Xenopus tropicalis: one gene and its partners. The protein of the gene in region 4 interacts with the protein of the main gene of each other region in a pairwise test. Links are inferred from orthologs where the notes say so. Each region holds a gene or a part of one and is shown on either strand. Other genes may lie near its edges. The genes, in order: atxn1, trim55, ttc19, tcap and lamtor5.

The links.
Region 1: the proteins of tcap (region 4) and atxn1 interact in binary tests that used the Homo sapiens proteins (3 or more experiments, as listed by UniProt). The link is inferred for Xenopus tropicalis from reciprocal best matches to the Homo sapiens genes TCAP and ATXN1.
Region 2: the proteins of tcap (region 4) and trim55 interact in a two-hybrid assay, tested with the Homo sapiens proteins (2 studies listed by BioGRID and IntAct). The link is inferred for Xenopus tropicalis from reciprocal best matches to the Homo sapiens genes TCAP and TRIM55.
Region 3: the proteins of tcap (region 4) and ttc19 interact in binary tests that used the Homo sapiens proteins (3 or more experiments, as listed by UniProt). The link is inferred for Xenopus tropicalis from reciprocal best matches to the Homo sapiens genes TCAP and TTC19.
Region 5: the proteins of tcap (region 4) and lamtor5 interact in binary tests that used the Homo sapiens proteins (3 or more experiments, as listed by UniProt). The link is inferred for Xenopus tropicalis from reciprocal best matches to the Homo sapiens genes TCAP and LAMTOR5.

The regions. Positions count from the first base shown.
Region 1 is NC_030682.2:93,424,588-93,430,677, forward strand, and holds part of atxn1 (ataxin-1), read left to right. Parts: intron 1-3,632; 5' UTR 3,633-3,801; coding exon 3,802-5,667; intron 5,668-6,090. UniProt on the Homo sapiens protein: Chromatin-binding factor that repress Notch signaling in the absence of Notch intracellular domain by acting as a CBF1 corepressor. Binds to the HEY promoter and might assist, along with NCOR2, RBPJ-mediated repression. Binds RNA in vitro.
Region 2 is NC_030682.2:118,768,672-118,774,761, reverse strand, and holds part of trim55 (tripartite motif-containing protein 55), read right to left. Parts: intron 5,532-6,090; coding exon of another isoform or gene 5,520-5,531; exon of another isoform or gene 4,487-5,519; intron 2,609-4,486; coding exon 2,321-2,608; intron 420-2,320; coding exon of another isoform or gene 399-419; exon of another isoform or gene 1-398. UniProt on the Homo sapiens protein: E3 ubiquitin ligase that plays an important role in regulating cardiac development and contractility, muscle growth, metabolism, and fiber-type differentiation.
Region 3 is NC_030678.2:29,746,391-29,752,046, forward strand, and holds part of ttc19 (tetratricopeptide repeat protein 19, mitochondrial), read left to right. Parts: coding exon 1-10; intron 11-1,753; coding exon 1,754-1,792; intron 1,793-2,264; coding exon 2,265-2,321; intron 2,322-2,402; coding exon 2,403-2,464; intron 2,465-2,550; coding exon 2,551-2,645; intron 2,646-3,351; coding exon 3,352-3,506; intron 3,507-3,911; coding exon 3,912-4,074; intron 4,075-5,656. UniProt on the Homo sapiens protein: Required for the preservation of the structural and functional integrity of mitochondrial respiratory complex III by allowing the physiological turnover of the Rieske protein UQCRFS1.
Region 4 is NC_030686.2:9,927,516-9,934,322, reverse strand, and holds tcap (telethonin), read left to right. Parts: upstream 1-2,663; 5' UTR 2,664-2,743; coding exon 2,744-2,886; intron 2,887-3,597; coding exon 3,598-4,015; 3' UTR 4,016-5,002; downstream 5,003-6,807. UniProt on the Homo sapiens protein: Muscle assembly regulating factor. Mediates the antiparallel assembly of titin (TTN) molecules at the sarcomeric Z-disk.
Region 5 is NC_030678.2:72,304,969-72,311,748, reverse strand, and holds the start of lamtor5 (ragulator complex protein LAMTOR5), read left to right. Parts: upstream 1-2,731; 5' UTR 2,732-2,823; coding exon 2,824-2,858; intron 2,859-3,210; exon of another isoform or gene 3,211-3,378; intron 3,379-3,408; exon of another isoform or gene 3,409-3,449; coding exon of another isoform or gene 3,450-3,481; intron 3,482-4,891; coding exon 4,892-4,953; intron 4,954-6,300; coding exon 6,301-6,418; intron 6,419-6,780. UniProt on the Homo sapiens protein: As part of the Ragulator complex it is involved in amino acid sensing and activation of mTORC1, a signaling complex promoting cell growth in response to growth factors, energy levels, and amino acids.

The DNA of each region.
Region 1 (6,090 bases), on a different chromosome or scaffold from region 4:
TTTGCACTCATATGGGATTTTTAAAAGTTTATTTATCAAGTGTTAACCTCTAACTTTGACCCATTAATAAATAAATATGAATGAATAGAAAGTGGAAGTGAGCTCTAATCTCATATTTTGACAAATCTGCTTCTAAAAGAGTTTTCCTATTTCAAATGCTGTTCTAGTTATAGTGATTTATAAGTAGTGCCCGTAATTTGTATTTTTTAGTCAGTTAAAGTCACTTATAAGCACAATACTTTATCAGCTTAGGTAAAATAGGGAAATTAACGTTAATATAAGTAATAATTCATTGATGTTCTAGGTATTTGTCTAAATTGGGAAAAAACAATACTTTATATTCGTTAGATAATAAATGGTCAAGTTATTTGAAGCACTGCTTAAAGAAAGACAGATTTTTGACTTCTTACATATATCTTAAAAGAAGTTGTTTATGATGTATTTATTCTCTGTCATTATTAGTACAAAATACACTGGGCTGTGTTTTTTTATACCCCACCGTTACCCACATCCCAACCTACCCTTATGTAAAGCCTTTTTACAATCAGACACCCTTACTGGAGTTATTGGAGCTTTATTTGCGCTAGGCATGCCGCACAATAAAGTAAAACAAAACAAGGTGCCATCCTTTAGCCCAGACTGACCTAGAAAACAAACTAATTGTTTACCTGTTTCCTAGGTTCTATTCTTGACTTTTTATTAACTGCTAAATGTAGTTGAAGGCAAAGGAAACCGACTCTTTCCCAAACCCCATGTGCCTGGTGTTAAAAAAAACCACTTTTGTGGCCCAACAGCTGGTCTGCCTACATGTCTCCTAAAATATTTTTTGTAAAGGATAATTGTTACTCTGAATTAATGTGTGACTCCTTAGAACAGCCCTCTACTGCTTCTGAGACACTAAAGACACCTATAGAGCTTTTTATATGGGGGTAGTAAAACCATGACCGTTTAACCTCTTGCCTTACCAGCCCTATAAAATTGTGTTATAAATGATTCTTGAATTTGTGCCATAGGTCATGTATAATGTTATAATATGTTATATTGCAACCAAGAAAATCTAGACAAATAGAAATCTTGATAAAATATATTTCAAAATATAAAGTTTATACTAAGTTAAGAAAAACTATTCTGCAAAAAAAAAAAAACAATAATGAGATTTAATGACAGTTCTGCTAGGAGGAGTCCCAAGTGTATATCATGCAGACCAAAGAGCTAGCTTAAACCAGCAGTGCACTTAAAAGCACCTTACTACTTCTTTGAATTCTGCAGACTTCTGTATTATTCATATTCAATTCATTGCCTGTGGTAAGATCATAAATCATTTGCGTTGCCCAGCAGGACTCTTCAGTAGACTGAAATGACTTTAACGTAGTAAATTAAAACCTATGTAATTCTGCTAAGTCACAGGAACAGTGCTTGCATTCTCTGGATTACTTATTAAGTCTACCTTAGAGGTATTAAAAGCTCATTTATATCTACATGTTTGTCAAATGAACATTCAAAACTAACTATATTTAAGACCAGAAACAGGTGAATGATGAGCCCCTCTGTGATATAGTTTTGCAGAGGCTATGTATAGGCTCGGGGTGGAGGTATATCAGCTCCCAAGCACTGTCATGTCACAGTTGATGTCTTGCCTAGACTGATTAGAGATGATGGTTCTTGGCATATCCCTATGCAATACCATAGCCAATTATAGAAATGAGTTGTCTTAGCCACCATGATTCAAACGCACTATAATGGGCAGTGTTTTGAAATTATTCTGGCAGCGTTATATATATATATCTTTATGCTATCTGTCACATAGGCCTTGCAAAGAACCCTTTGTGCTAGGAAAAAATAGTAAATTTTTTTTGGTAATTAATAGAGCAGTCTATGGGGACTTTTTAATTTTTTAATTCTTTGGTTAGACGCTAGTGATGCTTAAGAATGTGTTCCTTTACATACATATCATATACCGGTAGGTCTAATTTACATGTATTTACAGATCATAGTGGGATCTGACTAATCAGATCTAATAATATTCTACGATGGGGCATATTTATTATAGTGTATAAGCCAACATTACTGGTGATGTTCCCCATAGCAACCAGTAAGCAATTAGATTTAAACAGTCACCTACAAATTAGAAAACAAAAGTAAAGATCTGTTGCTATGGTTCTGTTGCTATGGTTAACATCACCGGTGATGTTGGCTTATGCACTAAATATGCCTTTTTACTGTCTGACAAAAGTTGTGATATGTTCCAACACAACCCTGACTGAATGTGTCAGATTATTAGATACTATTGCCATGCTAACAGTTAGACCCCTTAAGTCAGTCCAATAGGTTGCACCATATTTACTACAAAAAGTGTGATAATGGCACATGTGTTACAGCAAGCTCTGGCATATTAAAGCAAGAGAGGACATGTAATTCCTCTGAAATCACTGGGTTTTAATTAAGCTGGCCATATATGCACCGATAATTCGGTATTCGGTGCGTGTATGGCTGCTCCAAGAGGCAACCGATATCGCAAAAGGCTGCGGATGCACATTGCATCACCCAATCAAATGGGGTTTAAACAGGAGCAAGAAGGGGGCTCCATACTTTTGTTCAGCAGCAGCACCAAGTGCTATCACCCGTCTGAATTCTTGCGTCCTCATGCAAATTGCATATGGGGAAAAATCATTCCAACATTTCTGCAAAATGATTTATTAAAGCTTTGATTTGTTAAAATCTTACTGAAATTGACCAAAATGTTATAAATCACCCCATAGGTTTAGGAGCATTTTATTGCTGTTAGTTCTCCTTTAAAAAAAATGGGAAGCCTGTGATACTGCTGAACTGTTGCTAATGATTTCAGGTATTAAATAAAGAATACACTTGACAGCAAATTGCAGGGCTTAGAGGCAGATATTCTCAATTTTGCAGTGAGAAAAATAACACAGGATTTTCATCAGTTTTCTCCTTGAAGAGCAAAGTCTTTCCCTCACAGTTGTTTTCTCAATCACATTAACACACACCTCCACAGATCTAATAACAGTCAGCACTTTGCTCTGGAGTGATACTTCTCTTAATACAAAATGGTTCTCCCATCACCTTGCCCCAATTTTCTTCATGTTCTTTGCCTTCGGCTGTCAGGGAATAATAGGAGTTGACGTGCCACCAAAACATGGAAGGCTGCCGGATACATTTTTTTGATAAAAAGCTACCCAAGTACGAAGAACATGCTCTTAAATTAACAGATATATAACGATAAAATATGAAAATCTTTAAATATTCTGGCAATACAGATAATACTGTGAGTACATACATTCTCAGTACAAAGTAGCCCTTGCACAAGCAATAAAGTATAGAGATTATTTGTCCATATAACTCTTATTGCTGCTTATTGAATCATTATCTTATTGCTAGAGTCCCACTTACCCTAGGGTAGGGGAATTATTATGATAAACAGAGTATATGGGTCTGTGACATCAGTGGTGTTTTGTTTTGTTTGTTTGGCCATACCCCAGATAATGCCAGCTCATTGGTTATACCCCCAATTTATTTCTTATATAGCAGTGGATGTAGAACCTTTGTTGCAGCTGGTTATGCTACAGTTGTCTTGGTGTCCTTTAATGTTTCCTTTTTCTATTTATTGTATGTAGATTTCACATCAACTGTTGGAAGATTGTGCTCCAAGGGAGATGATTCCTCATGAAGTCATTGGGATCTCTAACAGATTTAAATGCGACTTTCCATTCACCAGACTGAAATCAGCGTCAGTCAGACAGTGAGCAAGCAGTGGTGGTTGGCGGGGGTGGCAGAGAGCAAAACATGAAATCTAACCAAGAACGAAGCAATGAAAGCCTGCCACCAAAGAAACGTGAAATACCCGCCACCAGTCGACCTTCTGAAGAGAAGACCGTTGGACTGACAAATGAAAACCACCGCACAAATAGCTTATCATGGCTCCCATCCAAGCCCAGCAGTGACCTTGGTGCACGTCATCATGGGCCTCCAGGAACTTCAACAGAAACTGGTTTACAAAAGGGAGGAAGTTTACATAAATCACTTTCTACGAGTATGGACTATTCTCCCACTAGTACTACAAGATCGGTACCAGTTGCAACAACAGTTCCTGCCAATTACCAAACTGCTCAGTCTCTGTCAGGGGCATCTATGTCTCCTGTGCAATATGCTAATGTGCCCCAAACTTACCAGTTTATTGGGCCACCATATAGTGGACCATCATATGCAGGATTCATAAATTCACAGCTTATTTCACCTACATCAAATTCTGGATCCAGTGCAGTGTCCTCCATGCCAGTAGGTGTTACAACTCCAACCCAGCGGTCCCAGGTGGAGGCTTTTTCCAGTATGCTGGCCAATACAAACAGCCTAAGTCAGCAGGGACATAAAATAGAACCACATCTAGATCGGACACCAGGATTAATTACTGCAGGTTCACCTACTCAGCCAAGTCAATATGTCCATCTTTCCAGCTCATCCCAGAGCACAGTCAGAACTCTCTCACCACCTGTTCATTTACCTACTCACTCTACAGTGATTCCGAATACACTTACACTAGGTGCACCTTCCCAGGTGGTCGTGCAGTACTCAGATTCAGGAGCTCATTTTATTGCTAGGGACCCTGCAAAGAAGGAAGACAATTACAGGTCACAGACCAAGGAGTTATTGAATGGAGAAATAGAGAAAGTTCGAAGATTTGGAGTCCATTGTACTGCAGATGCACAGTTAATGAAAGCAGGCAATAATAAACCAGCTTCCCAACATTATGAGACAAGACATGTGGTGGTGCACCCTAGTACTGATTATAGTACTCGGGATCCCTCAGGAGTTCGGACCTCAGTCATGGTAGTGCCTAACAGCAACACAACTGCCACAGACATGGATGTCTCACAAACTATTAAGAGAGAAACCTCACCTTTAGCAGCTCATAACAGGGGAAGCATACATTTAGGAAAGCAAACCCATCGGCCCTATGTTTTATCCCCACAGCAAACATTATGCCCAGAAGTAGTAAAAACTGTGGCTACATTATCTCCTCACACTGTCATCCAGACAACTCACAGTGCAGCAGAACAACTTTCTGTTGGTTTGCCTGCTGCTTTTTATGCGGGTACACAACAGCCAGTTATTGGCTATCTCAGCAGTCAGCAGCAAACCATTGGCTACCCTGGAAATTTGCCACAACACTTGGTGTTCCCTGGAACCCAGCCCTTACTTATACCTGTTGGCAATCCAGACATGGAATCATCTAGGGTTGGGGTTACACCTGGTATTGTGACGTCATCTCCCCAGTTTGCAGCAGTGCCTCATACATTTGTCACTACGCCCATTCCAAAAGGTGAAAACTACAGTGCTGAAACACTGGCAACTCAAACTGCCTACCAGGCTGCATTGGTCCCAGCTCAAATCCACCTCCCTGTTGTACAGTCTGTTGCTTCTCATATGGCAACTGCCCCTACACTGCCCCCTTACTTTATGAAAGGGTCAATCATACAGCTGGCCAATGGTGAGCTAAAGAAAGTAGAGGATTTAAAAACAGATGACTTCATACAAAGTGCAGATATTAGCAACGACTTGAAAATAGACTCCAGCACAGTGGAGAGAATTGAGAGCAGCCATAGTCCAGGCATAGCTGTGGTGCAGTTTGCTGTGGGAGAGCACCGGTCACAGGTGAGTAAAGGTTAAATTATCTTGCACTTAAAGATATTGTTGATATGGATCAAAGACAAAGTAGCTTTAGAAGCTTTTACCTAAGAGAGCGTCAGTTATTGTATTATTCTCATACAGAATATAAGGCTACTGCCACACCAGACTGATTCTCGGCCTGCATTTATCTACCCCTTTGCTTGCCTCAGCCTACTCTTATGACTGCACCTGGAGAAACTGCATGCGCCGGATGCAGACACATGGAGCAGATTTCATCACTGAAATGCATACTAATGCATTTTTAGTGCCAAAATCTGCTCCATGTGCCTGCACCTTGGCCAACTTTTTGGTTCTGGGTGCAGTCGCAAAAGTAGGCTGAGGCAAACATAGATGCTGATTATCATCCTGGTGTGGCATTACCCTAAGGGGTATATTTATCATGCTGTG
Region 2 (6,090 bases), on a different chromosome or scaffold from region 4:
TAACACACAATGTTCCCTCTAAGCTGTGCACTCGTGCACACAAATTTTGAGACCAGCACACAATAAATTGTGATGGACACAAAGAATTTTAGGTGAAAACACATACTTTTGTACTGCGCACACCAGTTTATTTAAAGTGTGCACACAGTGTGCAAAAGAAATTTTCTGCACACACAGCCAAGAAGAAAGGAACATTAAAGAAGAGGGAACATTTGTAACAAAAATGTAATATATATAAAGGAAAAATGATATTGTATCTCTTTCTCCCCCCTGTTTGTAGATGAACAGGGCTGAAACCCTTCCATTCTCTCTGCTGCCAGGGAATATTTGCTGGGCTGCAGGTTTGTGTGTGCCGGTATCCCAGTCACGTATTTGCTATTTAAAGGGCATGTCTTGTTTTACAACACATTCTCTTGCAACTGTTTTGAAGAAAGAAAATGTATTACGGTTTTATAAACCTGGTGATTGACAAAATGCCAGCATTGAAACACTGCAAGGCTTCACTTGGCCCTTCTCCATAGAGAAACTAGAAATGTAAAAGGATAAGGGGTTTTAAATAGCCCCCTGATAAAGCAGTTCTATTCTTGACATCATGGTAAGGCTATTTCTGGCTTCCACTTGGGCTTGCTGCTGATTAATGTTGGATAAGTTGAGTGTGTCCGGAAGTCTCATCACTTGTAGATATTCAATATCATTTTTACTATGAAATGGCTGAATTCTAATTTGTGAATATTGTCATGACATATTGTTTGTATTGTGCAGTATATTGTGTAATAATGTTCCAGGACCCAATGACTAGGCTGCTATGACAGCCAAAGGGGAACCAACTGCAAATTAATACCCTTGGTTGGGGAAAAAGATGTTGCACAGACAGATGTCCAGATACTTTTCGCCACATAGTTCTTAACTTAAATGTGTCAGATATAACAGTAAGCATAGAAATGCATCTGTTCAGGCAGAGAGCTTCTGCTTAGAGGCAAGCATTTTAGCCTTATATGCATTAGTTCAGACATGTGACATCAGGGGCTGAGGCAGAGGGACAAACTAGAGCACCTAAATGTTACTTTACAATAAGAGAAACAAGGTTCTAAAGGTACAGACATGCTATTTTAATATGCATTTGGCGGGGAAGACCTTACATTCTTAAAGGAACATTAATAGTTGCCATAACAAATTGCCTTGTTAAGTTTGTGGCCTCATTTTGTTATTGGTTGGTCTGTAATACACCCAAGGCAAGACACAGCAGGAAGTAGAAAGATAAATTAAAGGAGAACTAAACCCTAAAAAATGTATATGGCTACAAATGCCATGTTTTTTATACTGAACTTGCTGCATCAGCCTAAAGTTTCAGCATCTCTATAGAAGCAATGATCCAGAACTTGAAACTTGTCACATGAGCTCCCCATCTTGGAAAGTGTCAGTGACATTCACATGCTCACATGCTTGGCAGCTGTTGAGAAGTTGGGCTTAGGGGTCTTTGTAAATTATCAAGCAGAGAAAAGCTTGGCCTGTAATATAAGCTGATGCTGTAGGGTTCATTATTACCAATGCACAGTTGTCTGAGCTGCCATGTAGTAATTATCTGTATTAACTGCTATATTTATATGAAGATTTTCATTCATCCAGGTCATGGTATATCTAGTATAAATAAATTTGAAGCAACTGGACTTGTTTGGTAATCATTGAAGACGTTTCACTACTCATCCGAGCAGCTTCTTCAGTTCAACTGACTGGTATGGGAAGTCCTCAGCATATATACTTTTCCACTAATCCAATCACAATGGCACTATGTAACTCTTCAAAAAGGTGACATCTGAAACTCACAGAGGTGTGAATGCTGTGGAGTTACTTTGAAAGGATTACCAAAGTATCATGCAACTCTTCAAACAGGTATGGGACTTCCCATACCAGTCAGTTGAACTGAAGAAGCTGCTCGGATGAGTAGTGAAACGTCTTCAATGATTACTTAGCAAGTCCAGTTGCTTCAAATTTATTTATACTAGATATAACTGCTATATTGTTACATTTATATTCTGAATATACAGTATATTGTGCGTCACTACCTAAGAGCAGATAAGTGACAACAGCACAGAGAATGTGAATCAGTAGAAAAGAGAATGGGGAGCTACTGGGTGTATAGCTAGGCTTTAGTTCTCCTTTAATCTTGAGAATCTTTGCAAAAGTAAGCCTGAGAGCTAATCAAACATATTTATTTACAAGCAAATGTTCTGTGCAGTATAGGAAGCTTATCTATTCTTTCTAAAAGGTTTGTACCTATGTTACACTGTCAAACAATTGCAACGTGGAGACAATCACTGACCTTTGGGATTTCTGCAGATGAGCTGGTGTCCTTACCAGCCACTGCCAAACTTTCTTTAAGAGTTACTGATGAAAGATCATCCTTTACAGTAATTTCCTTAGTAACTGATTGACCTACGGGACCCAGAGCATCACTCAACTCGACTTTGTCTGCGCTGGAATCTTGCTGTGCTTGGCCCTTATACCAACTAGGATAAAGCAAGGGATCGGTGGGTTCTGCTGCTGACAGCACTTGAGCGTTAGACTCAGAGGCCTGTTGGATATCACTTGGCTCAACCTCCCCCTTTATCTGAACAGATAAAGTAAAAAAGGAACAGTTATCTTCTGGCATGAATGAGGAAACGCAGTCTTTCTGAAAGCTCACACAGTATATTGCTTTGCCATGTACCTAGTCACAATTACCTAAACCAAAAGCTTCAATGTGCCTTGTTAGTTAAATAAAATGGTTTTAATAGAGTGCCTTCTAACGTTCCCATTCTGTATCCAATATCTATCAATATCAATATATATATATATACAGCAGAAAAATGGTGCGTTATGAATATTTTGAAACTTCCAAGTGAATTACTAGTAATATTATTTGGTTTTCCTTTATACAGATAATAAAGACCCACAATGCAATATTTACAATAATAATAATAATACAAAACTGTAAGACTGTAACTGCTAAAAATTATATTTAAATACATACCAAACAATGTAGGGCAGATTTATCAAACTGTGAGATTAGAGCTCACCACAGAAAAAGATATTTTCATTCCTATGGGTATTTAGAAGCATATTTATCAAATGGTGAACTCTAAGAACCGTGACACATGGGGAGATTAGTCGCCGCGCGACAAATCTCCCTTGCCGCTGGCGACTAATCTCCCTGTGTGTCACAGCCCTAACTTTCACTGATTGATAAATATGCTTCTAAAAATCCCATAGGAATGAATAGAAAGTGGGTACATTTTCTATGGAGAGCTCTAATCTCACATTTTGATAAATCTGCCTTAAAGTGTCACAATCACATTTTAGGAAATGAGAGTACCCATCCCCTGTAAATTCCACTTTGTAGTTTAATGTATGTGCGACTATTTACTATTATTCTGTGTGACGTTGCTGTACTCCTAGTGGAGGTCATTAATAATGATAGCCACAAAATTTGCAAAACCGCTGAAAAATACACTTAATTGCAAAATGTATGCACTGGAGCCAATAGGCATTTTCTTGCACAAAATGCTTTTTTATCAAGCCAAATGCATTGCAGTCAAAATACATTGGAATTAATGGGCGTTTTTTTTGTTGAGTTTTCCAAATGGATTGAAATGAGTTGCTGTTTTTTCTCAAGAATTTTCTCACACCAAAATGCTTTGAAGTCAATGAGATGAAATAAAACTCCTGGTGAAATTCTAACACAAATTTGCAAAAATTGTTGCTACTTGCACAAATTCAGACACAAATAAATACCAGTTAAAAAAATGTGCTCATCGCTAGCGGTCAGCAACACTGCAGTTTTGATATAGGAACCTTAGAGGTGCGGCTTCTCTTTATTACATTCCTCTCATCAACAAATGCTCTAACATCCACTAGGTGCAAGGGCCATAGAATAAACTCATAGAAAAGGTATCTTCTACTAAACAGGGACAATTACTGTATATTATGAATGTTTTAATTGCAGCTTGTAATAATGACGTCTTTTCTTTTTAAACTTTAAGCTCTTTTGATGCCCGAGTTTAGCCAAGTGTGTAAAGGGCAATTCTCTGTCCCTCCTCCTAGACAGAGAACTAGAGGCCAAACTCAAGGCTACAAAGCTAAAAATGTCTCACTCTTCTTTGCTTGACTATTATATTAATTAATTGGCAAGATGCCCTTAAATGCATAAATACCGAATGGCAGGAGAATATTCCTTGCCTCAATGGGGAAATTGGTTAGACAATAAACCCCAGTGAATGGCTAAATCAGATCATGTTCATAATCTGTGTGTATCACCTTCATAAATAATTGTAACCCCTTTTTGGATGTAATAAAGTCCAGCTGGTGATTGGTTAGAGCATGGGGTATACTGGACTCTAACAAACTGGATGGGCCTTTCGCTATGTGGAAGGTTTGTTATGGATGGTGTTGTTGATCTACACCTTCCACTGCCAGATGTAATAGCGACGTAAAAGAAGGATGCTAGTTGTTCTTTTTCAGCACACTCAAACAGAATTGGTTTATTGTGCAAGACAATCAAGGCAATGCAGGGTTATCAATACTCACAAATGCAGATGAAATGGCAGGTATGCAGATACACAAGATGCAGCAGTAACAAATGATGCACCACTATGGAGAATCAGCTGAGTTAAGTAGATTTACAGTATATCCTTAGGGTTTCCACCTTAATTGACCTGATCCCCTATAGCAAAGAAGACTATGCCTGATACCCTTGTCAGTACTGCGCTCCCCTGTGTAGTCCCTACACTAAGGCAGCAGAGCCTGTAAAGGAGGCTACTCCTGCTGTTCTCCTGGTTGGAGCCAGAACGCTGCTCTTTATAACTAAAGCTGACGTACTAGAAAGTGCTATTATATAAATCTATCCTGCCCCAGCTAATCCTCGTTCATGGGGTCCCTGCCCTGACTTCTCCAAAGGTAATGGATCCCTCTGGGGTATGATGGCTTTACTGGGGCCATGTTGATACCAGGCTCAGTGGAAAATCCACCTGGTTCAACAGATGCCAAAGAGAAAGATCCACCCCTTTCCTATTAATAATATGTTAAATCTGTTACATGGATCTCTGCCCAGAACCAGTAAAATAAATAAGTGTAGGGTTCAAAGCTATAGGGATTGTTAGCCTTATAGGTCCCTACATAATCCTGGTAGAACTGGTAAAAATCAGAGGTGCCTATTCCCAAGGAAATCCTCCAAGATTTGAGAAAATTAGATTTTTGAAAGGTGATCTAGGTCTCCCAAGTATTAAGAAATGTAACTTTCCCTGCAAATTATATTTAATGCAATTATATAAATAAGCTCTGTTCAGGATTCTTTTTTGGGGGACACATTTAGTTAACTTGTTTGTCAGCGACAAGGAGTTAGAGATTGTTGGTCGGAAGCACAGAATTTCAAGCAGTTATGTGACTTTTTGCAGCAGACAGAAAGACTGGCTATTTAGATGTCCAAGTGGCAGATGAGTAGTCATTGTAGACAAATGCAGTTGTGAATTTAGGCAATAAAAGACTTATAACTGGATCTGGTTAAATGGAAGTAAAAAGACATCAAAGAGAAAGATAAAATTCAGCTTCTTCATAAAGCAGTTTCTCATGTTTATTACCGAGCACATTTTGGGCACCAATTCACAGAGACAACCCAAAATACAGAATATGGGCTTGCTATTTCTCTCTATTACAACTTTACTAGCAGTTTCACAGGAGGCTATGACTATTTTTGTTTTTAAAAAAGTCAAATTAATGGGCATAGTTTTCTTTCTATTTGTTTCAAAGTTATTTTTACCTTGAATTATGCTTTGATTTAATGCTTTTGACTTATGTTAAAAAGCCTTGGTGAGGAAAGTCCCCAGACTACAGCACATAGTAGCTCCTGGCTGGTTACTGTATGGATGGTATATTTTAGCACAATGGAATTCAATTATTATAAATCCTTGTGATGATCACAGAGATTAGGAGGTTAACACAGACTATAGATAAGTATATAAACAGGACACCTTGGTCATAGACTGGGAGCTCCATTTATCAACATTTGGATTTTAGTGCTTTTAGAGTTTTGAAGCCAAAAGCACAAATGTCTCGTTA
Region 3 (5,656 bases), on a different chromosome or scaffold from region 4:
GTATGATCTGGTATGTGTTTTGCACACCTAAATTATAGAGGGGGTATAAACACCACCTGCTAAATGTGTTTTTGGCTCGTTTGTACAATGAATGCATTTATTTCTACAATACAAAGTTATAAAAATTATCTTCTCTGCTCTGTTTGTGCCTGGCAATTAAGTGGCCTTTTAAGACACAGAACATGTGCACAAAGTGAGTTTTAGAACTCATCACTCAGCTGCATGTGAGAAAGGTGAAACGGATCCCCTGCGAAAATGCTGTGCACTTAATATCTGGCCCTTGTGCTATAAATAAATCACAAGCTTTAAAATGTGTGTCTGCCTCTATATATACTTGGCCAAGAGTGCCTGTGATTGGATGGACCCCCTGTCTGTTTAATAAATCAGGCAGTAGATTAACAGTCTAGGCTATGGAAATCCCTGAGACCACGTCAAGGGCAATTATCACAGAAAAATCTTTTCCCCCATCGGGAGGTGAGGGCTAATAGAATCTGCACACAGTTTGGGGGAAACAATACTATTTTGGGCAAAAAAAATTTATCAGCGCTATGCTGTCTGAACCGAGAGGGTGCTCCCAATGGTTGTACCACGGCCAGCCAGGTCTTACCAGGAATTGAAGTTAAGAGACCAAGTAGGAAGCATAGGTTCATGCAGACAGGAATAATTCAGAATGCCGTATCCAAGGGTTAAAAAAACAGAAGAATTTAAAGATCAAGTCAAAATAGCAATTTAGGTGCTCCCAGGAACTTACTAAGTAAGACCTATACTCTGGCATTGAATTTTGGTCTTCAGTGTCCTTGTATTTCAAATTTTGCGCCAAACTGTGACGCCAGTCACATGATGACAGCCAGTGGCACATGATGACACACCGAAGTGCTCATGGTAGGAAGGGTGCTCCCTGTGCAGATGGCCATGTTTGGACTCTAAGCATGCAAATAATGAAAAGAGTCCCAGCTTGTTCATTTATACACTTGTGACGGCAGCATAGCGCACACTACAAACATTTTTTTATCAAAATAGTATTGTTTCCCCCGACTAGAGCACAGGCTTTATTAGCCCACACCTACGATGGGAGAAACTATTTTCCTACAATAAGTTCCCTTTAATCTCATGATGCCTTTTTGTTGTGTGTTAGTTTTAAATCACTGCAAGGGTTGATTTCTGACTCAAAAGTCCCTGTTTGTCAATTCTCAGGGTCTGGATAAACCATTGCTGGGAAGTTTGGAAAAGGGGTTCCCCACCCAACAACAGGTTTTTCGGCATAATAAAAGAAAATCTAATTCTAAGAAACTTTACAGTACATATTATTTCAAGGTTTTCAATCGTTTATAGTTATTTGTAAATGTAATTGCTACTGAATGCATTGTCTGTTCACTCCTTGTTCTGACTCCTGAAACAATATAGCACATCCAGATAATTAAAAGACCTGGAGGAGAACCAAAGAGTCAGAACCAGAGATCAGAAAGGGATAAACAACCCCTGCTTTCAAATGCAAATACATTTGCAAATAACTTTAAAACTATTACAAATCCTTAATGAATCGTGCAAACAAAATATTTTTTTTGGCCCATTTTATGGGGCAGTATCAACTTTCATTTGTGTCTGTGTAATGTTGCAAAATACTTAAAATCTCATTACTTGTGACCCTTAAATGAGAAATAAACGTAAATGCAGATAACGCTCATTAAAGGGATTTTTGATTTGGGTAAAAGTAGAATGAACGCTTTATCTATGCCTTTTATTTTGCTTTCAGATGGCTAACCTCGCTTTACTCACAGGAAAGTTGGATACAGTGAGTATTATACAGTATTATTTAAATCGCCAGCAAATATGTACAGTTAACAATGATGCAAAACAGCGGTTCTCAACCTGTGGGTCGGGACCCCTTTGGGGGTCGAACAACCCTTCCACAAGGGTCGCCTAAGACCATCGGAAATCACATATTTCCGATGATTTTAGGTATAATTTTATGGTTGGGGGTCACCACAACATGAGGAACTGTATTAAAGGGTCACGGCATTAGGAAGGTTGAGAACCACTGATGTAAAAATGAGACACTCCAGCATCAAAAACAAACACTTTTTCCTTTGTTTTCAGGGGTAAAACGGACCTTACAAATTAAGCTCGCTCTTCCCTTTACAAGCAGCTTTGCTTTTGCTCCGATTTTTTTTTCTTTCCCTATAAGTACATAAGTGCATTATAGTTGCATACTTTTAACAAGAACATTTGGCTGATAGCAGGTATCATTTTGTTTTCCTTTCTAGTCTGAAAAGCTTTTCAAGGAAACCTTGATCTTCATGCTTAATGATAACATCCAGCAGGTATATTTTTCTTTTGCCACCTTTGTTGCCTCTATATAATATCCTGTTATTAGGGTAACATTTGGGTATTTTATTGCTCAGGATGACAATGCCTTTATTGAGATTTCCCTCAAGCTGGCCAGTATCTACGCTACACAGAACAAGTAAGTAATACATTAGTTTTATTTGTTCAGTTCCATAAACCTGGATCAACCAATACCACTGACTTTTGAACTATTATGTACTACAGGAAAGAGTTGGCAGTGGCAGGCTACCAGTTCTGTATCTTGAGTCTGGAAGAAAAGCTTGAAAAACAGGCAGGTCTGTTGGAGGGGTCATTGGCTGGTAAGAGCTTAGCTTTGTCGACTTCTTTACTTTTTTGCGAGCAAAGATGTTTCTTGACTGTCACGGATGGAAACAGACCAGCAGGTGGCACTGATGTTTAAACAAAATTCATTCATATTAACAGTACACATTCACATTAAGTCCAGCCCAGGATATGTCTGTGCTAGCTTTGTGGAAAAGTGCACTAACTACTGCGTGGATTTAAGTTTTGCCTCTTCTGTCTACTGAGCAATGCTGTGATTAAGACATTGCTGTCTGTTAGCCATCTGAATGGTGTGGCATATAGAAGTCTGACAAGCTGCAGCCACCAAGACCTATATTGGCACTACTTGCAAGTTTGAGTTTAGCTCACAGATGTAACTGACCAAAAGCAAGGCATGTAGGCCACTGTAAGAATCTGGAAAACAGTGTATCAAAACATTGTCTTTTTTGTGCACCTGAAAATAATGTGATGTTTAGTAAAGTATGCCGTTGATGTGGCTGTGTCTCCCATCAGATTCTAGCTGTGGCCAAAACCGATTGCCCCCATCACAGTAGCCATTAAGGCTACACACAAGAGGTTTTGCTCGCCACTACAGTGTATGTTTATCATAGTAGGTGTCTCTGTTTGTATGTGTTTTACAAATATATAACTATGTAACATACTCAGTATGGGAAAATAGGTTTTAATCATTGCTGCCTTATTTATTTCATTTTATTTTAACAGCTGATGAAAAATCCAACACACGTCTCCTCCTTGGGTTATGCCTGGATTCTTATGGTCGTTACCTGATAAACAATTCATCATTTTCACAGGCGCAAAATATGTATGAAAAAGCATTACGGATTTGCACAGAGGAGCAGGGAACAGAGCACCCTCAGGTACAAATCCTTTGCACTGTAGCACTGTCTTGTGTTGCTCTGTCTGTCTTGCATGTCTCCTGAGCACGCCATGCTTTTCTGCTGGTAGAAAGGCACTTGTGCTGCTAAAGCTTTCAGAAGCCCTGTCTGTCTCGCATGTCTCCTGAGCATGCCATGCTTTTCTGCTGGTAGAAAGGCACTTGTGCTGCTAAAGCTTTCAGAAGCCCCATGACTCTATCTTTTCCTTATAATTTACTTTATCTGATGTACGGCCTAATGTTGGGTTATGAGCATGTGAATATTCATTCCTAGAGTGACACTTACACAAGGTTTCTTTGCAGAATTTAAGCTGATAAAGCAGTAAGTTGTTTATTCTCTTTAAACTTTTTCTGCTAAGCTTGACTTTTTTCTGCTGCTGTGTTGCAGAGTGTTATACTCATGAATGATATTGCAATTGCACTGGAAGCCCTGGGCAAGCACGACGAGGCCTTTGCCATTGTAAATCAAGCATCTGAGCTGGCTCGTAAGACTGAGCACCCTGACCTGCATGTGGTGCTAAGTAACCTGGCTATGATCCTTACTTATCAAGGTAAGAACATTATGATTCTGCAGACTCTGGCCACTGATCCTCGTCTTCAATCCTTATCTGTCATCTACTTTAGAATTGCCATTTTATATATCACGTCTCTTCCTTTTTTTACTTTTTCTATCCCCTTAATTAACAATGCATGGCGGAGAGCTGTCTGTGTGCAGCACTCTCTTAATCAGGGGTCCCCAACCTTTCTTACTCGTGAGCCACAGTCACATGTAAAAAGACTTCGAGAGCAACACAAGCACCATAAAAGTTCATGGAGGAGCCAAATAAGGGCTAAGATTGGCTATTAGGCAGCCTCTATGCACACTATCCGCTTACAGGAGGCTTTATTTGGTAGTAAATCTTGCTTTTATTCAACCTAAACTTGCCACCAAGTCAGGAATTCAAAAATAACTCCCTGGTTTGGGGGCACTGGGAGCAACATCCAAGGGGTTGGGGAGCAATATGTTGCTCCTGAGGGAAGGGAATCACTGCTCTTAATGGTTGCAGTTATATATCTAAATGGAAGATGCCATATTATTATTATTTTATTTAGACTTAGCTAGACATGTGTAATGCACTTGACTTCATGTTGTGCTAATATATTGCTTTACCTAAGGCAGGTAGGTGTTAGGCTAGTGGCATACATGGAGTTTTCTCTGCTAATGTAAAATGGGCCAATCCACTCCCTTTGGCACAAAAATGTATACAGTGGATCTGGCTTTTGAGAGAAAAATGCTCTGTGAGTGCTATGCCGCCTGCACCATAATGGGACCTCTTGCTGTTGGCGGCCATGTTTGGTTACACACATGCACTTAATTAAAGAGCCTCCCGTCTTGTGCATTACTCACACGCGTGTGATGTCACACTCATTTGCATAACGAGCAAACCGGGACACTATTTGGCCACAAACAGCCTTGTGTGCACTCTTCAAGAGAGTCTAATGCTGTCCGCATAGCCACAATATATCTAATAAAGCTCTGTTCTGTCAGTCACGGAGGTTGTCATTTTGCCTCCATAGCATAGCAAGCCCAGCAAGGTTCCACCTCTGGAGTGACTAAATCAGCAGCTAGTTTTAGCCCCTGTATAGCAAATACATAATAATAAAAAAGTAATAAAAAAAAAATGAAAAGCATGCACAAAATGAATTTTCTGTGCATGTTAGCTATAAACTTATAGGGAAAATCCTATTTACATATAAGGTTTATTATTCCACTTAACTCATACTCCTAAATGTGCAACCTTAGTTAGTGGGAATATAACCATCTAGGGCAGTGATCCCCAACCAGTGGCTCGAGGACAACATGTTGCTCCCCAACCCCTTGGATGTTGCTCCCAGTGGCCTCAAAGCAGGGGCTCATTTTTGAATTCCAAACAGATCCTTCTGTACGCTTCCAGTCCACATAGTGGCTATTAAGTAGCCAATTACAGCTCTTATTGGCACCCCCAGGAACATTTTTTTATACTTGTGCTGCTCCCCAACACTTTATCCATTTAAATGTGACTCATGGGTATAAAAGGTTGGGGGTCCCTGATCTAGGGGCTCTACCATCTGTTATAATGGAGTCTTTCTAAGTAACTGTAAAAAAAAAAAAAG
Region 4 (6,807 bases):
AGACTGTAAATGCTTTCACTGGCTGAGCAATCAGAGCTAACTGGCGACTGCATGCCATGTGGTACAAGCCGTGATTGGGAAAATGAATGGTAATGGCCGGGGGAGCTATTAGCAGAGAGTAGGGGTGAGTGACAGATAGGGAGGGTGGCAGTGAGAGCGAATACCCGCTGCGGCTCTCCAGTTGCACTCTGGCACCGACCCCCGGGGGATTAGTAGCACTGAACTTGTTTATTTAACAGAGAGGATTTATCAAGGTCACACCAACCCCTCCACTCGTCAGATCGGCCATAAAAGGAGGAAAAGATAGACACGTAACCCCCCGCCCAAGATCCCGGCTCATGTTCTGTACCACCTGGGCCAATACAATAACAATAGGACATTGGCAGCAAAATCCCAATGCAATTCAGTTAGGATTTGGCTTTATATACTGCAATGGAATTTCCATAACAAGGGAGAGTATAAAGGCCCCCATACATGAGGCGATTTCACTCGTTGTGCGACGAACGATTATATCGACAAATGATCGTATGGCGATCGGGTTTCCATTCGATATGCCATCCACGGGCAACGATAATTTGCAAAAGATTTCATCGTATCATTATCGTAAAATACGTACGATCCAATGTCGTACATCTACGTACGATCGAATGCCGTGGCGGAAGCGGTATTTGTTCATTGTTCGTTGACTTCCGCTGCTGGCAATCATGACATGCGCAGAGAACAATCGTTCGAAGACAAATGTCTGACACTCACACCAACTGGCAGATTTTATCGTTAAACGAACCTGGCCAATCGATTTTGGGGACGATAATGTCGGGTCGATTAGTGGGCCGACAACCGTTCGCACACCATCAACTATACGATAACTTAACGATAGTATCGGATCGTTCGGGAATCGGTCATTTGACAGTAAAAAAATCGGCCCGTGTATGGGGGCCTTAAGGGTCATTTACTCTTAGGGCCAAGACACACGGGGCGATTAGTCACTGCGACTTGTAGCATCAACTAATTGCACCGATTTAGTTGCCATAGATTGATGCACGAGTTGCTGTTTAAAGTGCACGCTTCCTCGCCGGGACTTTTTTAAAAAGTCACAGCAACTAATTGCCCCTAATCGCTAAACTCCGTCTAGCTTACCTCTCTATGCTAGAGGAGCAGAATGGAGTTCTATAGATAGTATAGTGTTAAATAGTGTAATATAGGTGTTGTTAAACTACAACTCCTAGAATCCAGTGAAAAAATTAGAACAATTTTATATATGATATCTTTTGTCTTTTTTCTTAGCTGGGAGCAGGGAGGCAGGGTCTGATGTCACTGGTGGGGCAGTGACATCATAGTGATGGGCCACTGCTGTCACAGGGGTGGGGCTATATGCGACAATCTGCGACAGGTCACAACCCTATGTGGAGGAGCTCACTTATCTGCTGATAGGCCATTTATAAAGTACAAATGGTTAAATGTTTACTGTCAAAATATTAATGCAATGATGGGATCTGTTATCCAGAAGCCTGTTATCCAGAAGGCTCCAAATTACAGGAAGGCCATCTCCCATAGAATGCATTTTAAGAAAGTAACTCCCATTTTTTTCAGTGATGTCCATTTTCTCTGTAATAATAAAACAGTACCTGTACTTGATCCCAACTAAGATATAATTACCCCTTATTGGGGGCAGAACAGCCCTATTGGGTTTATTTAATGGTTAAATGATTCCCTTTTCTCTGTAATAATAAAACAGTACCTGTACTTGATCCCAACTAAGATATAATTACCCCTTATTGGGGGCAGAACAGCCCTATTGGGTTTATTTCATGGTTAAATGATTCCCTTTTCTCTGTAATAATAAAACAGTACCTGTACTTGATCCCAACTAAGATATAATTACCCCTTATTGGGGGCAGAACAGCCCTATTGGGTTTATTTCATGGTTAAATGATTCCCTTTTCTCTGTAATAATAAAACAGTACCTGTACTTGATCCCAACTAAGATATAATTACCCCTTATTGGGGGCAGAACAGCCCTATTGGGTTTATTTAATGGTTAAATGATTCTCTTTTCTCTGTAATAATAAAACAGTACCTGTACTTGATCCCAACTAAGATATAATTACCCCTTATTGGGGGCAGAACAGCCCTATTGGGTTTACTAAGATCAAGTATCAATGGATACAAAACAATCCTGTTGGGTTTAATTAATGTTTTATTGATTTTGTAGTAGGTATGGAGATCCAAATTATGGAAAGACGCCTTATCCAGAATACCCTTGGTCCTGAGCATTCTGGATAATGGGTCCTATACTTGTACTGAGCTTGCCAGCACTCTTTCTATGCCACCCAGCAGGCTATTTACCCAGCCTGGCATTCCCTAATGACAGTTCTGTCCCTAATGGGCTGCCATAAGGAGCTCTTACTGTAACATATGAGCCCTCGCATTTTCCGCTGAGACCGTGTAACCCGGTTATTGATGACAAAGCCTATAGGTATGTATCAAGCTGGGCGGCAGTGAGCAGCTTTCTGGGAAGCCCTGAGTCCCAGCTCTGTTCCATATCTGTCCCCACTGTGACTGTGCGAGGGGCAGCGCTGGGGGGGGGGGGCAGGATGACTCTTTGGGCAGATATAGAGTGTTACAAAACAGAATGAAAATAGACACAGACAAGGGTATATAAATGCGGGGAAGAGCCCTGCCTGGCAGAGCCACACACACAGGGAATCAGAGGGAGAAGCCACAGAGCTAAATCTAGAGAAACATGGTGGGAAAGCCTGGGACCCCCAAGGCCATGGGGAACGTGACTGAGCTGAGCTGCCGAGTGCAAGAGGATAACACGGCCAGGAGGGAGCACTTCTCCGCAGAATGGATAGACACCTCCATGTTCAGCCGACCAGAGGAAAGGTATGAAGGGGAGAATGGGGGGACAAGGGAGCTGGCAGTGGGGAGGGGAGGACAACTGTTACACACATGTGCTCTACCTGTTATTTTATATGCCTTTAGTTGCCCTTTAAACCAACACACACCCTAGTTTAAAGGGAAGCCATACCCCTGGCATCCCCATGTCTCTGTATTTAAAAACACATTAAATTCTCTGTGCTGATTGGTTGCTATGGGTTACTAGACCCAGACTAACCTTTGCTGTATTTATTACATTACCCCCAAGGGATTCCCGGGAACAAATTCCTTGAGGCTCCTAAAAAAAAATCCCATTTGGGTTTATCCTATAGGTTAAAGCTCACCCAATGGGTGAAGCAGAAGCCGGGGTAATAGCTGATCAGATTCCCAACTACAGACCGGTTTTGCCCTTCTTGGGGCTCATCAGTGTAGCGCAGGGTTTTCTGATCAGCTTAGGGAGAGCCAGGAGTGGGGATTCACGGACAAGTCATAAGGGTTGAGGAGACCGCCTCATACATTACCCCCCAAAGTGTTACTTTCGCTGGTTTGTTCTGCTACCCCCCAACTCTTCCTTTCCAAATCTGTCATATTACTGCATGCCCAATGCTGACACCTAAAGACTTGGCACACAGGAATAGGTACCCAAAGGGTTACAGTGTTGCTTGTGGGTATGATAAAGTATTGAGTATTAATCATTTCTTTTGCTCCCCATTTCAGCTGCAATGCCCGTGATGCCAATGTGTGGAGGAGAGAGAGTTTCCGCCAACAGGGACAGACCCGCTTCCTGGTCCAACAGTCTCCCGCACAGGTCATGAAAATGGGTCGCCTTGGCCAGAGACTCACCCAGTACCAGCTGCCCTACCAGAGAATGTTGCCTCTGCCCATCTTCAAGCCAGCAGATCTCAGCACCAAGATGGAACGCATAGCCACCCCGCCCCAGCTGCGCGGCATGATGGAGTTCGAGAGGGCGCTTAGCCACCCAGGCAATGACGGCGTCTGTCCGGATAAGAAGTCGCTCTCCCAGATCACTAAAGAGTTGCCTCCAGTCATGCAACCAGTGAGAATGGAGATGATGAAGCCAGGCCTGGCCCAGTCTTTCACAAGGTCTACGTCCCAAGAAGTCATGAGAGGGTAGAAGAGAGGAGAAGGCGAAGGGTCTAGAGGAGAGTGAAAGGTGTAGAGCAACCACCCAATCCTATCTGCTAGTCATAGATGGCCAGGTTAGAGTGCAGTGTGTGTCTGCATGGTGTCTGCTCTAGAAGGCCCCTACTTTGTATAGCTGGATTATAGGGAAACGGCCAATTGGTTCCCGGCGGCAACCTCTTCGTTGTGTTTGTAAACTGGATAGAATATTCCAGCTTGAGATTATTTGCAGAAGTTTATATGTCTTTTATCTGTAGGTCACAATTTTGGGAATGATATATGGAATGGAAGGTGGCATATGAGTAGGTGCAGGAGCTCGTTGTCCTTAGTGTAGAGTTAGGGGGGAAAAGGTAGTCATTCCCCAAGCCCAGGATGGGAGACAGGGTACTATGGCTGAATTCCCTTTTTACTAGACAACAATGGGTTCCTTGTTGCCCTGGTTTATAGTGCAATGGTTGGTGGCCAATTTAAGAAAGGTTGGAGACCCGGTTGAGCATTTCAGTCTGATCTGATCTAGAAAAGCCGCTTACAGCACTGCCAATAAGCAAGTTACCCGGGGCACTCGGCAGAGAGATTGCAGGTGAATAGTTATAATGAGGGACATAGTTTGTATAAAGCCCCAGGGTGGGGCAATGTAGGCATCAGACCCATAATGGAATGGGCTACAATATACTGTATATCCCCATCCTCTCCTACATGAAATCCAGGTGACTGAACTACCCAATGGCACGGCGGGAGCTGCCATACTTGGGCCATGGTGGCTTCTACACCTTGAGTGATGGGACAAAGAAAAACCCGTTAGGTGAAACGATGGACTGCAGATCCCTCTGCCCTTAATGGGGCTCAGATATGTTTGCACAGTTTTATATGAAAACAGATACATATTTATATTTGTACCTATGTTCTCCTTTGTCTTGGTACTAATTAAGTTCTAATGTTATTTTCTTACGTCTAATAAAATGAATGTTTCAGCCCTTTTTTTATTGTGACGCTTACATTTATATTCACAGTATAATATACACACACAAATACACACACATTGCTAGGTGTGTACACATATATATATATATATATATATATATACATAGTCAAAAGGTACCCTGATCTCAAGGGATCTGGTATTGATATGTATTGAATGTATTGCTTATGCAATGGTTACATAGTTAAGTTGGGTTGAGAAAAGACCAAAGTCCATCAAGTTCAACCATTCCAAGCAAACCCCAGTGCATTTATATACTTAGTATAAGTAAATATAATATATTAATAGTGTGTGCCATGTTTTCCCAACAATAAGAGCACATACAGAATACAACAATAACGAGTATTCCTTCATAGGTATAAACAGATATTAATTGTATCAGCCATATGTGCCACTGATATCGGTTGAAGATACCTGCTTTAAATAAGGACAACTAAGTCAAAGCAAGGTAAGGATCGGTTCTAGGGGTAAATGCATCTATGTTTTTATGAAATGAAGTCCATCCAGGCCCTACAAGGCCCCTAGCTTATGGTAATTGGCTCCAGCCCGTCCTTGTTTCCAACCTAGGCCTATATAATACCTACATCAAGTAGCACTGTGTACCCTTAATTGTTAAGAGGGTGGTCCCTGGATGCCAAGTTCTCTGGTGGGCCCTAGTAGGTCCAGTCTGGCAGTGACACTGTTTAGTCTGTAATACAATCTGAGAAACAATCTTTGTATGCACCTAGGTAGTGGTTTCCAGACCTGCCCAAGCCAAGTTTTGTCCCTGTTAAGGCCCCAACACTTGGCCAGGGCTCCCCTTAGTTTATAACAAGGTGACTGACATATGTAAACATCACTGTATGTGCCATTCAGTCATAGTTCCAAAAATATCTAGGACAGTAAATAAGTTTTCACCCCCATAACACCCTATTGACCTTCAGGCTGGGCTTTCAGGATTATCTAATGTAGTAACAAGGCACGCTTCCCGAATGTCCTGCACTGGCTCAGGGGTCAGCCTCACAGCTTGGTCTTAGAAACGTTTCCCTGGTAAAAAGTTACCTATAGCACCTTTGCATGGCCCCCAAGACCATTATCTAGAGTTGCAGAGCTGCACCGTGGTGTTGGCTGCCATTGTTAGCATGGATCATGGGGATCTCCAAAAAGGAGCATCCACACCTGGCCAGGGCCATGGTTTGGCTTCTAGTGCCTCTATAATGGCAAGGGGAACAGGACAATGTTATGAGGCAGGGTCGGACTGGGGGGAGTAGGGCCCACCGGGGCTCCCGCCCCAGGGGCCCTGTAGGTGCCCTGCCAGCTGCATCCCCTAACCCCCCCACAGTGGCCCCCCTAACCCCCTGCAGGGTCCCCCACCCGAAGTCCTCCCCTGAGCGCGAGTAAGGGAGGAACGGTCAGGCAGGGGGAGCGCCGGCAAGCGTTGGGTCTGGGCCAGTCCCACCCTGTTATGAGGGGGGGTGCGGCGCAGTACTCTGCTACTGCAAACCCTATCCAGCCCCCTTCCTCCCCACCCGTACATGTCCCCCCCAGGGGCGTAACTACAGAGGAAGCAGACCCTGCAGTTGCAGGGGGGGGGGGGGGCAGTAAGTTATTAGCCATTTCAATATATCTTGATAGAATTGGTCAACTTGGGGCCCTAAACTAAATTTGCTGTGGGGCCAGTAGCATCTAGTTACACCCCTGGTCCCCCCTATATGTTTGCATGTCCCCATTTCCCACTCTCTCAGGTAGGAATCAGGGATTTATATGCAACAGTAGAGGAATTAGACCCCATTGTCCGAATCCCCCTGTCCCCTGCCCGGGGTCTG
Region 5 (6,780 bases), on a different chromosome or scaffold from region 4:
GAAAAGCCAATCAGATTTTACCTATTGACTTGGCCAAAATTCAACCTGCTGCCATTCTCACAGTAATAACGACGGGTCCCCAAACTTTGCAGAGTTAGGCTCCATTGGGCGGAGCCACCAGCAGCCAATCAAATTTCACCTATTGAATTTTATTGGTTTAATGCCAGGCTTCCCAAACTTTGCACTGTCAGTCACTTGGTGACTACGTATTCAAGTTTTGTATACGTATTTTGTTTTTTTTTAAGTGGGCAGGGTCACCAACAGCCAATCAGATTTTACCTATTGATTTTCAATGGTGAAGTGTAAAATGCAGTCCCACAATTTTTATGTCCCCAAACTTTGCAAAGTTGGTCATTGGAGACTGCAGTTCAAAAATAGCAAAACTGGGTTGGGCCACTAATAGTCAATCACAGTTCATCCATTGAATTTTATTGGTTTCAATTTAAAATGCTGCCATTCTCACACTATTTATGCCAAGGTGCCCACTGTTAGTCACTGGGTGACTTTGACTAAAGGTTAGAAAAAGCGGGCACACCCACCAACCACCATTTACAATTCACCTATTGACTTTTATTGGTTTAAATTTAAACTGCTGCCGTTCTGTAACTATTAATCCTAGGGTCCCTAAACTTTGCAGAGTTAGTCACTGGGTAACTGCAGTTCCAGATTAGAACAAATGGGCAGAGCCACCAACCGCCAATCAGATGTCACTTGTTGACTTTCAGTGGGGAAATTTAAATTGCTGCCATTTAGACACTATTAAAACCAGGGTCTCCAAACTTTGCAGAGTGTTTTTTACTATATAACTGTGGGTCCAAGGTTAGAAAAAGTGGACCAAGTCAACAACATATCAGATTTCATTCAGTGACTTTATGTTTTTCAAACCAACATGAAGTTTATTCTCAAACTTCCCTTTCTAGTTTCAGTCTTGTGAGCGTTAATTTTGTACCTCCAAAAATGAACCACAATCATGTAAAAAAATAAAGATTTCTTAAAGCGAGTTATTAACATTTTGAATGATCAATAATAAATCATCGGCAAGATGATTTAACATGAGAAATGTCAGAAATGTCTTTCCACCGGCAACAGTAGGAGTTACCTGTGGAAAGGCCTACACATAGCTTCAGCTTTCCGAAGTCGCGCAAAGCTTCCTCGTGGGCCATAAGCCTAAACGAAATATAGTAACATTACATTCGTTTGTTTGAGAGCCTCAAAAAAAGCGAAGTAAAGTTGCTCTTAGTAAAATTTTAAGCAATAGCACCATCTGCTGGTTATATCTAGTACTTATGTAATTATATTTCATTTACCTGTGTAATTTCTGTAAAACAGAACATTTAAATTGTTTGTTGCCTTGCTCCTTTTCCACAAACAAATGTTTAAGGTGGCCATACTTAAAGATCCGCTCGCCTTTCGAGGTCCCTTCTCCCGATATCCCCATCAACAGGTGGCGATATCGGGGGAATTTAGGTTAATTCGGTCATTTGGCCCTGGGGAGCCAGTCGGTTGGGGGACCACATCAACGAGCCGATACGGTCGCCGATCCAACTGAATTTTTTAACCTGCCGATCTATATCTGGCAATTTTAGGCCAGCTATCAGTCGGGCAGGCAGTCGTTGCTGCCCCTACACGGGCCGATAAGCTGCCGAATCAGTCCAAGGGACCAATATCCGGCAGCTACAATCAGCCTGTGTATGGCCACCTTTAGTGTTCAAGAGAGAGATAAGCTTGTAGCAGCCTAGAGTATTGTAGTGTTTTACCCTATTACAGCGTGACTGCAATGTGAGCTTATGTAAAGAATGTAACTGTATCTGTGTTTTCCCATATGCTAGTATAGGATGGGTTTTCTCGTAAAATATTGAAAAATCTTGACACTAAGCCGTTTGGGCCCATACCCTTAACTGTGGGAGCATCCTGTTAGAATAAATGCATGCTACTCTATGCAAGGGCACCCTCTCCTGTTTTTTATTGAACAGTCTGGCAAAAACCACCATTTGTGCCGAGTGGCACAAGAATTGAAAGTGAATAGTGATCATTTTTATATGACCCGGACATAAGTCCAATAGCATAACTCTTAGTTTCTCATTCAAAAGACCACTTCTGTCAAGCTTCTGGTTGCACTCTGCACCCTAGGCCTAATAAACAATCCAGCATGAGGTGAGGAATAACATGCAAGTTAAGGATTGGGCAGGTAGTAGTAGGGGGAATTTACATCTGTCCTTGCCCCAGTAGAGCTTTCAGTTCTTACCACATTCACAAACTCTGTGGTTATGTTTATCAATAGCCACTTAACTTAACTAAGGTGAACAAACCCTTTAATATATATTTTAGAAATATTTTATTTCCTTTGATTGAAGCCCACCACATCCATTTGGGAGAAGAAACAACGTCATGTGCAGTAACAAATCTAGAGCTCCATGGAACTGGGTGTAAAATTCACTCTGGACATTAACCCACGTGACACCCAAAGTCAGTTAACCCTCTGTAAACACTAAATTGCAAAAGGAAGTCAAGAAACCAAAATGGACAAGAATCCTACTGTCAGGCCAGTAAAAACAGTAATCAAGAAACCTATTCTCAGAGTATGTTAGCTTTGTATGAAGCATTGTGCATTGTAGCGGAACCACCATTAAGCCAAAGCATATTAATAGTATTTTTCATTCATTGATTTTTCTTAATAGCGCCAGAGCTTCAAATACTGCAAACGAAAACTCCCATTAGCCCCACCTTCTGTCTAACAGTCAGCTGACCGGGAGGGTCACATGAGCAAACACCCGGAAGAGGAACTGCTTTAAGGTTTTTTTGACAGGAAGAAGAGACTCAGCTATGGAAGCGGCTCTGGAGCAGCATTTGGAAGATACGTGAGTGCTCTGTAAACACATACTAAGGAAAATAAAATTAATTGGTTTTTTTCAATTAGTAAAATCAGGACATTTAAAGCGAAAGAACAGAAATAATTCAAACAGACAGAAATGCACTTCAGAACTTGAATTTCGTAACGTGTCTTTAAGTTTGCTGGTAATAGTTCAGATTCTCTTATTTTTAATCATTCCTACATGCGTGATCTCACTCAGGAGAGGAAATCGTGGGGGGAGGAAGCGGTGAACACTGTCACTGTTCATTCGGAGACTGGGGCATCTGGGGGAGGGGGTATAAGCATAAGTGTGAGCTATTAGTTACACAAGGTAACGACCATGTTGTTGCTGTTAGGCGGGTAGGCAGTTGAAGAGGGGATGTAAATTCGGATGCACAGATTAATTGCAAGGAAGTTGTTGGAGGGGTTTACTCGAAAAGCAGAGGAGGCCTTGGAGTTTTTGTTAGGAGGAAGCAGTGCAATATCAGGCATGGAGGTTTGGGGAGTCATGAGTTAACTGCATGTAAATCCTTATTGGGGGTGAGAAGGCTCATGAAACTGTGTAGGTGAATTGGGTGGCAGAGGTGGCCATGCAGTTATGTGTAAGGAAATGGCACAAGTGGCTGGCAGGTAGGTTATGTGAGGAGGATGATGGAGTGGAGTTGTGTAGGTGGGCAAAGTGGCATAACTGAAAGGGATGGGGGCTGTGCATGTTTTGATGGAGTCAGGCATACTGGCTCTTGTGTGGAGCTGAAACGTCGGATTAATAAAAACCATGTAAGATATTGCTAAAAAACTTTTTTGGTGAATATTAACCAAAGTCCTGTGAGTGCTAACCTTTATTGCAATTGTGTGTATATATATATATATATATATATCTGTATTCATTGGTGCGTGCATAGGTGCTCATATATACATGCGTATGTGTGTATGAAAGTGCTTATATATGTGCACATATAGACACATATATAAGTAAATATTTAGGTGCACATGTGTATATATGTGCATCAATATGTGTGTAATTGTATGTGTATATGTGCAACAACACGTGTGTACATATAGGTCTGTAAATAAGTGTATATATAGATGTGTGTTTGTGTCCAAGCAGACACACAACCATGTGGCTTCCTTGTTTGACTCTACACCTGGAATTTTACTTAACAAATACATTCATGGTCTTGATCCTCTGCTAGTGAGTATTTTCTAGTGCATGATCTGTATAGAGGTGTTTAATAAACGGGTTGCACAGATCGATCTGCCCACAGTGCGATCACATATTATTGATTCCTTAACCAAGATTCAACTTTATTTAAACACTTGATTATATTTCTGACTATTTTACTCTAATATTCTGACTTTCACGGTACATCCCTGACATCTAGCTTCATAAAAAGTGTTACTCTTCTTAGACCTTGTGGTTATTCTCTTGTACTTTCTATTTTGTCCATTTAGTATTCTTTTTTTATTGCCTGTCTATATAATTTTTGTTATTATTTATTTTTGATATAATTTTGATCTCTGTCTGGTAACGTAGGATTACGTCATCTCCACTTTTTCCCACCACTGTGTGCTTTTTAGACACTGAGTTTGTTGTATTCACCACTTTGATAAAGGCTAGAGTGCTAGCCGAAATTTTAGTCTCCTATATAATAAAACAACAAGTCCTGCGAGTACTGACACTTCCTCCAGTATATTCAATAATTTTTGGACCTGAGTGAGTGAGTGCCGGCATCTATTTGGAAGTATATATATATTTCTGAGAAAAGTTGTGTTGTTTAATACTGACACAAGAAACATCAGAGACTGACTAATTGTCTAAACTTTGCAACATCATCTTTCTTTTCCCCTGACTATAAGGACAAAATGGCAGCTATGGCCACTCTATCACTTTTTAAATTTGTTTGGTTAATCTATAATAATCTATATCTATAATATCCTATGAACTAGTAGAGATGATATAGCTGAAATAGCTTTCAGATAGGTAACCAGTATTTGTTTGGTATCTTGACACAAGTGTTTTGCCGTTCCTTACTTTTTCAGAATGAAAAATCCATCAATTGTTGGAGTTCTGTGTACAGATTCACAGGGGCTAAGTCTGGGATGTGAGTACCCTTTTACATTGGTTTTGTGTATAATATTGAAAATTGATGTAAATTGCAAAAGTACTCTGAGGAACACTCTGAGTAAGGTTAACAAATTCATTTTTAGGCTTAATTCAAATAAACAGCTGTGGAAATCCTTCCCAGAAGAGTAGAGGCTATTATAGCAGCAAACGGAGGAACAGCTTTATATTAATTACGTTGCTCTGAGAATTACCTTTGACCATTTGGTGTAGCTGCTGAACTTCCAATATTTGTCTTATGTGAAGGCTCCCTCTCCCTTTTATGGAGATTGCTATCTGTTACTCTGCAGCCAAAGTAATCTGTGAAAGAGTCAGTAGAAACAAACAGACTCTTGCATGGGGGTACTGACCCCTTTGGTAAACCCTGTTAAGTAACACAATAGGTTTTTAATCCATTGGTCACCTGGGCTGAAGGCACCATGGCCTGCACACACACAACCATGCCCCTGATCCCCTCATCATGCTTCATTAGTCCAAAACCCTGCCTACTCCATGCAAGCCCCACCCTACTTGTGTTTTTAATTCTCTTGGGGCCCCTGACAGCAGCAGACAATATATGCCAAAAGCCAAGAACAGAAGCTTCTGTACCTGCGTTGCTGAGTCTTTGTGCTCCCACCACAAAATACTCGTGATCACAAGGTTCACTTTCCCTCTGAAATCAGCAGTGGCTTAGCACTTGCAAACCTGTCCTTGAGGCTGCCTTTTTTAAAAAAAAAAAAAAAAAAAAAACAAACTTTTTTTTGGAGGTGTAGGGTAGGTTTGGGTAGGCTAATGAAAATTCTCTCATGACAATAAGCTCCACTGGGACAGACTGAAGTGAATGATATGTTAGTGCTATACATATATAAAGGGTAACATATTTTAGTGGAAAAATGTATCCAGAATATGAACAATTTAGTAAATCCTGAAAAAGTAAAGATTCTTCTCCTTAAGCCAAGTGTTGCCTTTCCATGCCCTAGTCTCTGTAGATATTTGAAAGAACCATTGCAGTGTCATGACCATGCAGTGTCATGAGACCTATACACTACAGTAGTAGGATGTAATAAGAGCCAATTACTTGAGGTGTACCATTGGTTAGCATGCATTCCTATTTAATTGTCTGTATTTTAAGATGCTTATATTTTAGAAGGTTACACTTTCTTCTTTCTAAAATGCATTATTAATGTGATTGTATTAAGTGCTTCATGTTCCACTTCTCCAGGAACTAAAACAATGCACTATAGTATTTCTACTGCTGCTCACTTGTTTTTTCAACCCCAAATCTGTCCCCCAAACTTTTAGTGGTTGAGTATTAAAAAAAAAAAAATATATATTATTTTTCTTGAAGGTTGTGGAAGCCTTTCCGATAAACATGCTGGTGTGATCTCCATTCTTCCTCAGTATGCAGCCAAACTTACGTCAGACCCCACAGATGTGCCAGTTGTATGCCTAGAATCTGACAACGGGTGAGGCCATTTTCATACAGTTAGAGAATCCAGAATATATATCTACAGGACAATAATTAAGCCATTACTTGTTTTCTTTTTGTTGTTACTTAGGTAAGTTGGGTTGCAAAAAGACCATCAAGCTCAACCCTTCCAAGTGAAGCCTAGTGCACACACATAGACCCATACTGACCTATCTATATACTTACATACATAAACTATATATACCAACATCAATACTAACTGTAGATTTTAGTATCACAATAGCCTTGGATACTATGCTTGTTCAAGACCTCATCCAGGCCCCTCTTAAAGACATTAACAGAATCTGCCATTACATCATCACTAGGAAGGGCATTCCACAACCTCACTGTAAAAAAAAA